Linked DNA regions of Xenopus tropicalis. The protein of the gene in region 1 binds, or shares a complex with, the protein of each later gene. Links are inferred from orthologs where the notes say so. Each region holds a gene or a part of one and is shown on either strand. Other genes may lie near its edges.

Region 1 (2,728 bases):
GAGTTTTGTTTATCATTAGCTGAGCTTTCAAAGTATCAACATCCTTTTAATATTTAACATGTCTTCTGGAAACGGTAGTATTGGATTAACAGAAAATATGCATCATAACCTGCATATGAAGTTCAAGGCTTAACAAGCTGATTCAACCAATTTGGTGTTGCCAGTAATCAGTATTGAGCAGTTACATGCATTCAAATTATCAGAATTACAGGGGTACCCACATTTTTGCACAGCCAGTTTTTCACATTTGATTTAATTTCATACAACTAAATACTGCTTCACTAAAAATATTTGTTCAGAAAACACCCCATTTCCTGAGAAATTAAATACAAACCACTGTTATCTTTTCTGTTGAAAGTGGAGTAAATTATTATGCAGGCTAAGAGGGGGTTCCCAAACTTTTTTTATATGACTGTAATACAATTAACTCACACGGAAAGGTGCTTGTGTCATCTTTGAACAAACTCTGTGTCTCGCCTGTTTTAGCCATAAATCGGGTGAGGGCCCTTTCCACATCTCTACGCTGTGATGCTGCCTTCTCACGCAAGACTTGGTAATCACATACTGGTTCACGATAAGTCTAAGGAGAGGACTTTAATGCAGATAAACAAAATAATACATAGCATAGAACCCATTCAGAAGTCCTGAGGATCCCTTCATTAAAAGCAGTAGCAAACCATTTCCCTACAGGATTTACTGCTACCGTCATAGTAAAATCGCTGTGACCCTATAATAATTATTTTGCCTGCCTTTCCTTTTATCACAGCGATTAAGAGTTGTGCCTTCTTACAAGCAGTAGAAGGCTGCAACCAGCTGAAGTTACAAAAGCCACCTTGTTTCTCACTTCTCATTAAAAGGAAGTACACCTTCTAAGGGTAATATCACACCATGTGTTCTCTGCTTGCAGTATTACTATGATAATGTACATTCTATAGTAAGTCAATCAAGAAAGTAAGGCAATATATTTATTACTTTGTTCCTATGCAACATTCAGTACATAAACATACATTTATCTCAAAGAAAAACAACCTTACCGGTGTCTTAATGTATGTATGGGGATCTGGAAACTCGGGAAAATGGCTTGGAATATGAGCAGGGTGTTGCTTGTTCTGTCCTGCACTCAGAGCTTTAGGAACCACAGGATTGTTTGTCACAGGTGCTGCAAGAAAGAGAACTGTTAGAGAATAATTGGCTAAAATATGGACAAAACTGAAGCAGTCATGAGTAAACAGTGTGTATTTATGAATATTGTATTTATATAAATAATGTAAATGCAGTAAGGGCAGTTTCAGTGCCCTTACACAAGTGTTTCATGACACTTGTCACTTAATATGTTTTTTATGTAGTCCTGTGTTGTGCTAAACATTGTTTTTTTTTATACATTAGACAATGTATAGAGACAATAATTCAATATTCATATCAGGCACTTGCACAACCTACGTGCTGTTATCACCATCCTCTGGGACCGCTTGGCATAGGCAGGCAAACTTTCTACATTAAACCCTACAAAAAGAAACAGTGATGAATAACAATGCAAATAAATGTAATAACTGTAATGTAATAAATATAAATAACTTCTCCTTTCCTCTTTTCAACAATGTGCCTCTCTTACCCATTTCTATCAGAGTAACTACAATGTCTGGCAGCGTGGGCTGTGTCCGTGCAGTGTGTTCACAGTATGACTTGGCACTTCGTCCAATCTCTGACAGATCTAAGGTGGGGAGAAGCGAAATGAAAGGACAACTTATATGCAAATGAACAACATAAAAAATGCAAGTGATTAGAACATCATTAGAGAAGATCTTGGAGGAACCTGTCTTACATAAACCTTACACATTTAGTTTAGTATACTTTATGGCAAAGAAGGTTTAGAAAGAAGATTATAGATGCCTATTATTCTGGGAAGGGATTTCAAAAGACTGCCAAACAATTGGACAATCCTAACTTTCCTAAGGAAAGTTATCCACAAGTGGTGAATATTTCACAACTTGCCCACGGGCCAGGCTCTTCCAGCAAGTTCAGTCCGAGAGCAAAATGCAAGATGCTGAAAGTAGTCTCTAAGAGCCCCAGAATTCATAACATGACCTACAAGTATCTCTCACCACCACTGATGTCACAGTACAAGTGGAATGTGGTTTAATGTACAATTGCAATTAACAAGCGCGCAGTATATGCATTATTACACATTTAAAAAACACACATGTATAAAAGGCCGTCATACTTACAGCTCTGTAGCATTTCAGTTAAACTTTCTACAGCTGCTTTCTCTGCACTTTCAAATCCAGCCTCTGTGAGCAGGGAACTAACTACCACCTGCAGTGTCCTTCGTCTCGCCAACATGTAATTATCGGCAGGGGTGGAAGTCCCACGTGCACAAGACCTCTGGGGACATAAATAAAGAGGACTGATTAGAGTGAGAAACTTGAGGGCTTATTATTCCATAATGAGCCCTTATAAATGCATAAAAAAAACCACAAAAAGCCTTTTTCTAAATTATTCCATGCTAATTTTATTCAAACTGCAAAATTTACTGAAGCAATGGTTTGAACCAATCTAAAAGCCCAAGTAATAAGAAACACAAAAGAAATTCTTGAAGTTTCCCAATATGTCTTTATCTAAGTTTTAGCATCTTGAATCTGTGCACAAACAGAGATTCTTTGCCTTGTGTGTTTGTAGCTACTTAGTTGGCAGTAAAAGAAGATACAGGCATCTTTCTACCTAAAGTCCT
Region 2 (3,689 bases), about 7.7 Mb from region 1:
AAGGAGCCAGCGCTACACATTAGAACTGCTTTCAGGTAACCTATTGTTTCTCCTACTCCCATGTAACTGTAGGAGTCCCAAGCCAGCGCTATCCTGATATCTATTGGGAGCTGATATCTTGCTACCTTCCCATTGTTCTTCTGATCAGCTGCTGGTGGGAGGGGGGTGATATCACTCCAACTTGCAGAGCAGCAGTAAAGTGTGACTGAGGTTTATCAGAGCACTGGTCACATGGCTGTGGCACCCTGGGAAATGAAGAATATGGCTAGCCCCATGTGAAATTTCAAATGTAAATATAAACAAAAATGTGTTTGGGTTTCTGAAAAACAGATTTCAATACAGGATTCTTTTCAAGAAGCTCTATTAACTGATGCTTTTTAAAAAAACATGTTTTCCCATGACATTATTCCTTTAAGAATGTGGGCTTTATTTTCACTTTTCCGCTATTGCAAATAAAGTAATCGGTCTGCTAAATAAAAACATACTGACAACCCTAAGCAAAAACCTGTCATATCCAGTGTAGAAAGCAATTATTAGGTAGCTTGTTGCTCTTTTGCTACCTATAAAGCACACCTGTGTTGGATTGGGTAACCCTGGGCCCACTGGGTAACCAACTCAGGAGCCCACAGCTGCTTCGCCCACAGCTACTCCTGCTTTACTTACTTACTGTTATAGGCTCAACTTTAGAACGCACACCGCCAAGTTTATTTTTTCACAGCAAGTAAGCAGTGGCCCACTCTGCTGCTTACTTGCTGTGAAAAAATAAAAGATGGCGTTCAGGTGGCAGGGCCCAACAGGGTTGGGGGGCCCACTGTTTTTTTTTTCCAGTAGCATGGTGAGCCAGTCTGACCCTGTAACCTAGTCCTATTATTTACCTACTCTGCCTGACTATCCAATGCAAAGTATAGTCAGGAAGAAACACCATAAAGGGCATAGGGGCATATTTACCAACACTTTGTAAATTTGCCTCAATACAATAGCTCATAGCAATTTTTTAGCTGTTAGCTTCAATATTTACAGTGTTAATTGAGTCCCAGTGAATAGATTTTCATTGGGAATACATTAAATACCAGCACATACAGTACTGTACACACACACACATTAATGAACGGCGCAGAAGTTGGTTAATAAGGCTGTATGGTACAGAGATACTTTGTATCACTATACAGTGGCTCATGCTAACACACTATTTACTTACAGCCAGTTGAGTATCTAGCTCTGTAATGACATCGCACACGGCGGTGGAACCGCTGAGCACACACGTCATCATCACCGGCCTTCTGCAGACAATAACAGCATCAGTTGGGCACATTGTATAAGGTTATTAGTATATATCACAGACTGAGGTGGACTGGGTTAGTAACGATGACATTTCACCAAGTTACTAGCTATAACTCAAAAATGATCCAAGGTAAGCTTACTTTCTTCTCATCTATTTAGAGAGTGTAATATTGATGTAATTTTATAGGCAAGACAATGCTCCTAACCGGTATGTTATTATACAAAAATTTTAAAGGAGACATATTGGATAAATGGGGAAAAACACTTATTTTGTAGGCAATTATGAATAATATACGGTGCTGGTTTCCCTTTGGGCTAAACATTAACCCTATCTGTAACAATGGCCCCTTTATTGGAGCTCCCTATAGATCCTATCACTTCTCTGTCCAGTGTGAAATGGAGAGTGGGCGTGTCCTAACAGTCCCTGCCAGAAGCACAGTAGGAGGGGGAGAGCCAATCACAGCCCTGCCCTCACACAAGCACAGACAGGCTTCAGTTCCCTATCAGGTCAGCCTAGCTGCTGATTGGTTCCTGTCCTACAGTGCAGGGTACTGAGGGCGGCTCCCCAGCTCATCCAGAGAATTCAGCCAGCAGGAAGTGGAACAGATGGGCGGGACTAGTGGGGTTTTGGTGGAATTTCTCAATAAATCAGTCTGAAACACAACATTTTTAAGCACAATCCTTCTATATCTAGAGGAGTATAATTCACTGGAACATTCATCATTTTTATAGGATATGTCTCCTTTAAGGAAAAACCAAACAACTGGCATATTGTTTTTGTTACCGATTTCTGCCTTTTGCTATATGTAGTGTAACCTATCCCCATTACACATTAAAGCAATGCAGGAAAAAAAATATTCAGAACAGAAGAGACTCCTGAAACAATGTAGCCAGCAAGTCCCATTTCAGTTCAACTAACTTCTAATACATTGTTTCAGGATTCCGCACCAGTGAACAGAAGATGCCCATACCTGGTGCACTCTTACCTTCCAGTTTGTGCCTGTATGTTACCCAACCACTTAGATTGTAAGCTCTATGGGGTAGGGATCTCCTTCCTACTGTGTCTCATACCACATGGCACTTATATATATATATATACATATATGTATTTATTGTATTTATTTATTATATCACTTGTCCTCCCTGTGTGTAATTGTGTATTCTGTAAGACTGTACAGCGCTGCATACCCTTGTGGCGCTTAATAAATAAAGTTATACATACATACATACATATAACCAGCGAGCCAGTCTGAAAGCGATTTATACACCACTGAAATTGTTTAACGTATATCTGAAAGTTGCAACGAACTGGATTCTAACAAGTTGAAATTGTAACCCTCCTGTGTGTATGTATATATGTTCCAATATACCTAAATACATAATACCGTGTGTGAGTCTCACACATGAGTGAGATGATTGGCACGGTACGTTACGTACAACCTGCTGCGCACTAGCACTTGCTGCACTGCTTTGCCGGGAGAGTAGGGACACCAAAGTGAGATACCCGGGAATCCCATACGTCCCGATTCTCGCAAGGAAAACCTGATAAAGCGACAATATAATCACGGAGTCCACATACCAATCTCTGCGCTTTAAGTTCTGCTGTCTCTCTCCCTGTTGGCGGACGTTACATCACACATTCTTTCCGCTCATGCGCAAATTCTTCTTCCCCCCCACACTTTATTTAACGGGAACAATCCAAAACTCAGAATATGCGCAGAAAACCGAAAAACATGGCTCCCAATACGCCGACCTAAACAAAAATTGCACCTTTTCTCGCGATTTTAAATGTAGCTGTGGACGGGAATTGGCAGTCCCATCATCCCTTCTATTTAGCATAATTTGCATATGGCCCTCGCTTGGCAATAAAATTAAAATGTAAAATACTGTTTGTTGTATTTATGAAAGTGAATTATCTTATATTTAGTGTATCCCGATCTAGCACTCATATACAATTATAGATATTTCCCTAACCGAAACTTTGTCGCCATATGTTGTGTAAGGGTTATGCTGCCCCTGGAGGTTGCAGAAACCAGATGATAGTTAAAAAGGGCTTGTGCCGTGTATGGCACATTGCGGGTCTCCCTTGTGGAGGACTGCAGTGCGGAATCGATATCAAGAGATTTCGAAAGCATAATTTTTGTAAACTGGGCTGCTAGAGATCGATGGTCTGGGCGCCCAATAATTAAGTTCAAAAACAGAGAAAATGAGGATGTATCAGCAGGAATAAGCATATTGAAGCGTATTAATTAATACACTGTGTTCCGCAGGGTTATTTTCCCGGCAACGCCTAGTGATCACGCAGAGGACTGATACTTTTTTTTATTTAAGAGTATCAATGTATGTAATACTGCCACATGCCTACAATAAACAAATAACAAAGCCGGGTTAAGTACTCAAAATCTCTC
Region 3 (3,758 bases), on another chromosome or scaffold:
CCCCTCCAGTGATCCTTTGGGGATCCAGTTTCCAGTCATGACTTGTAGATCCACTAACCTATCATTTATTGGGGATTAACCCTCTAAACACTGTGCAGGGAAAATCATCACCCCATGTAGATTGTATCTATCCCTTATACAGCCCCATACCCTCTCTAGTTGCCCAGTTTGTTACCCCACAATGGGGCAGTCACATTAACCCCCGGCCATGTCCATTTCCCAAGGCCCATTGAGTACTTAGTCCCCATTACACCACTTCTTATAAATAAATAAATAATCTAGTAGAATTTCTATTTGGCTTTAACTCCCCCATCACCATAATAACCCCAATACCCCTGCCCAGATACTATACTGGGGTACTTATTGGCTCTTATACCTCCAAACACTGCCCTAGGGTAATCATTCACCCCCTATAACCCCCATTACACCCCCAACAACTCTACTGGGATAGCTATTCAGTTCCCAAGGGATATATATACTTATTTACCCATATGCCCCTCTTATCCACCCACATACCCCTTTATTTACACCCCCCTACACTCCTTCCCAGATACACAAGCTTCTCCCTGCCCATAGTCACGGGAACCACATTAGTTGTAAAACTACAACTCCCAGCATGCCCCTCCGCCTAAGCGGCACGGTCGGTAGACAGCGGATCCCACAAGCGGCAGTAGTGCGTTTGTCCGAGCCCTGTATGAGGTGTCCCACCCACCCGGTGACAGGAACGCCCCCTCCCTCCCGGTAACCCGCAGCGGGCGGCAGACAGGAGTGGCGGCGGGACACCCGCAGCAGCCATTTTGAATTGAGCAGACAAAGAGCGCGCGTTTCTGTGGCGGGGCGACTTTCTCCGCTTCAGGCGTCGCCACGCCACCCGGTTTCCCGCGCAGACCCTTCCCCGACCGCCCCCTATTTTTGTGCCTCCCTCCCGTTCCACCGACCCCGCTCGATCCCCTCCTGCCCTCCCAATACCGCTCGCAGCCATTTGCCCGCTCCTTATGTAGCCATGAAGCAGCCAATGGGAGCGCCGCTCCGGTGTGACGTAATTGCCCCGCCGCGCAGGCGCACAGAGCTGCTGCCCTCCTGAGTTGAGCGGCGGAGTAAAGATGGCGGCGGGTTCGGATCTACTGGATGAGGTTTTCTTCAACACGGACGTGGACGATAAAGTGGTCAGCGAGCTGGTGGGATCCCTGGAGTCTCAGCTGGCCGCCGCGGCCCACCAGCACCATCATCACCACCACCACCAGCAGCAACCCCCCGCCGAGGCCCGCAGCCAGGCCCTGGCTAACCATGTCACCAGCCCGGGGGTAGGGGCAGCCAGTGCGGGGGGACAGCCTGAAGCCAAGATAGGGCTCTCCCCGGAGGTGCCTAAGACGGGTGAGGCCTGGGGGCGCCGAGCTGAGCGGGCAGGGGGGCCGCGGGAATGTTTTGGCGGCCGGCGGGCTGACTGGGGGCCTTCAGGGGCTCTGCTGGGTGTGATGGGCCCCGGGAAACGCTCTGGGGGCCCCACATGGACTTCTGGAGTTGCTGCTCTTGGAAAACTGGATACTTGTACTACTTGGCGCCTGTGGAGTGACTTGGAGGGGGGCCAAGGGCTTTGGGGGGGCACATTGGCCCATAGGAAATAGAATTGGGGGTACACATGGACTCCTGGAGCTGCTGATGGCTGGCGACTGGATATTTGGGGTATCCGGCAGTTTCCTGGGGTAACCGGGCAGCCTGGGGGCATTTGGGGGGTATACTGGGCCCTGGGCAGCCTTCTGGCCAGTCTCACATGGACTCATAGAGCTGCTGATGGCTGGCGACTGGATATTTGGGGTACCCAGCAGTTTCCTGGGGTAACCGGGCAGCCTGGGGGCATTTGGGGGTATACTGGGCCCTGGGCAGCCTTCTGGCCAGTCTCACATGGACTCCTGGAGCTGCTGATGGCTGGCGACTGGATATTTGGGGTATCCGGCAGTTTCCTGGGGTAACCGGGCAGCCTGGGGGCATTTGGGGGTATACTGGGCCCTGGGCAGCCTTCTGGCCAGTCTCACATGGACTCATAGAGCTGCTGATGGCTGGCGACTGGATATTTGGGGTACCCAGCAGTTTCCTGGGGTAACCGGGCAGCCTGGGGGCATTTGGGGGGTATACTGGGCCCTGGGCAGCCTTCTGGCCAGTCTCACATGGACTCATAGAGCTGCTGATGGCTGGCGACTGGATATTTGGGGTACCCAGCAGTTTCCTGGGGTAACCGGGCAGCCTGGGGGCATTTGGGGGTATACTGGGCCCTGGGCAGCCTTCTGGCCAGTCTCACATGGACTCATAGAGCTGCTGATGGCTGGCGACTGGATATTTGGGGTACCCGGCAGTTTCCTGGGGTAACCGGGCAGCCTGGGGGCATTTGGGGGTATACTGGGCCCTGGGCAGCCTTCTGGCCAGTCTCACATGGACTCGTAGAGCTGTTGGTGGCTGGCGACTGGATATTTGGGGTACCCGGCAGTTTCCTGGGGTAACCGGGCAGCCTGGGGGCATTTGGGGGGTATACTGGGCCCTGGGCAGCCTTCTGGCCAGTCTCACATGGACTAATGGAGCTGTTGGTGGCAACAGACTAGAGATTTGTGGCATTTTAGGGTTTTGGGGGTGACTGTGGGGAGATGAGTGCTGTGTGGATCATTAGGGGGCAGTTTGTGCCCCAGGAGAAGATTTGGGGGTCCACATGAACTTTTGGCGCTACTGATGGCCTTGTTGTAGATACTTAGATACCTGGGATTTTCTGGGGGCTATAATGAGCCTTAATAAATGGACTTGGGGGGCAAGAGGCACTATATGGTCATTTGGGGGGGTGTGGGTGAAATTGCCTTATGTGGGGTATGTTCCCCGTGTACTTGGGGAGCTGGCACTGAGGGCACCGTCTATATGCCGCTCACTTACAAGGGGGGGGGGGGGGGTAAATCTTCCTGGGGGCATCATTGGGTTCTCTTGGAATGGTTTGGATTTCTGGGTGGCATGTTGGGTTGTGGGGTTGCCTAATGCCGCTTCTGAGGGGTCCAGTGGGCGTTTGCTGGTGGAACCAAGTGCTGGACCAGAGTGGGTGCACAGGGGTGGCTATCTGTATATTCCGGCGGGTGTATACCCCATAGCTCTGTTTCTTTCCCTGCTGTTTAAAAAAAAATGTCCTTTTTCTCCCACAGGAGCCGCTGTACCCGGAGTACAAGGAGGTGTCATTAACAGCCGCCCACAGACCACAGCACAGCCTGACGGGACTCAGTCTGCTATACCCGAAGCACCAGGAGCTCTTAGCCAGGCCAAATCTGGGGTTCTGGGCAACATGGCTTCCACTCTGCCCAACCACAGTTCAGGTAATGGCAAAAATGCCACCCTACAGACCATGAATGGGAGTAATGTTGTGATTAATTCACACGGACCTGGGGGTCACGGAACCCCCTACCAGGGGAACAGCAATGCCGCTGTCGGCCTGGTAAACAACGGACCGGCTCCTGTCGCTAAGGGTGGAGTGAACCCAGGAGCTAACACCGTTATCCAGACTTCTTTCCTTGGGACTACTAACGTGGCATCCTCAGTCATCTCCTCCTCATCCACATCCACTGCGGGAGCAGCTGGGCAGCAAGCTGGCATGGCGGGCGTACCCACCAGCGTGGCATTGGTGAGACCTCTGTTGCACCAGGGCGTGCCCGCCACTCAGAACGGGAGCAATACTGTGATCAATTCCCCTCTGTCCGCCCCTGCCGGGGTCTCGCTGCAAATGAACAATCAGC

Evidence for each region. Proteins that work in one complex are often made in the same cells at the same time.
Region 2: taf8 (region 1) and taf12 share a complex: the UniProt entries of both Homo sapiens proteins name them as parts of the TFIID basal transcription factor complex. The link is inferred for Xenopus tropicalis from reciprocal best matches to the Homo sapiens genes TAF8 and TAF12.
Region 3: taf8 (region 1) and taf4 share a complex: the UniProt entries of both Homo sapiens proteins name them as parts of the TFIID basal transcription factor complex. The link is inferred for Xenopus tropicalis from reciprocal best matches to the Homo sapiens genes TAF8 and TAF4.

What each region holds. Positions count from the first base shown.
Region 1 is NC_030678.2:70,728,999-70,731,726, forward strand, and holds part of taf8 (transcription initiation factor TFIID subunit 8), read right to left. Parts: intron 2,383-2,728; coding exon of another isoform or gene 2,341-2,382; coding exon 2,226-2,340; intron 1,712-2,225; coding exon 1,613-1,711; intron 1,504-1,612; coding exon 1,441-1,503; intron 1,160-1,440; coding exon 1,035-1,159; intron 581-1,034; coding exon 433-580; intron 1-432. UniProt on the Homo sapiens protein: The TFIID basal transcription factor complex plays a major role in the initiation of RNA polymerase II (Pol II)-dependent transcription.
Region 2 is NC_030678.2:78,450,424-78,454,112, forward strand, and holds the start of taf12 (transcription initiation factor TFIID subunit 12), read right to left. Parts: upstream 2,884-3,689; 5' UTR 2,861-2,883; intron 1,281-2,860; exon of another isoform or gene 1,271-1,280; coding exon of another isoform or gene 1,199-1,270; intron 1-1,198. UniProt on the Homo sapiens protein: The TFIID basal transcription factor complex plays a major role in the initiation of RNA polymerase II (Pol II)-dependent transcription.
Region 3 is NC_030686.2:4,389,940-4,393,697, reverse strand, and holds the start of taf4 (transcription initiation factor TFIID subunit 4), read left to right. Parts: upstream 1-1,089; 5' UTR 1,090-1,103; coding exon 1,104-1,374; intron 1,375-3,173; coding exon 3,174-3,758. UniProt on the Homo sapiens protein: The TFIID basal transcription factor complex plays a major role in the initiation of RNA polymerase II (Pol II)-dependent transcription.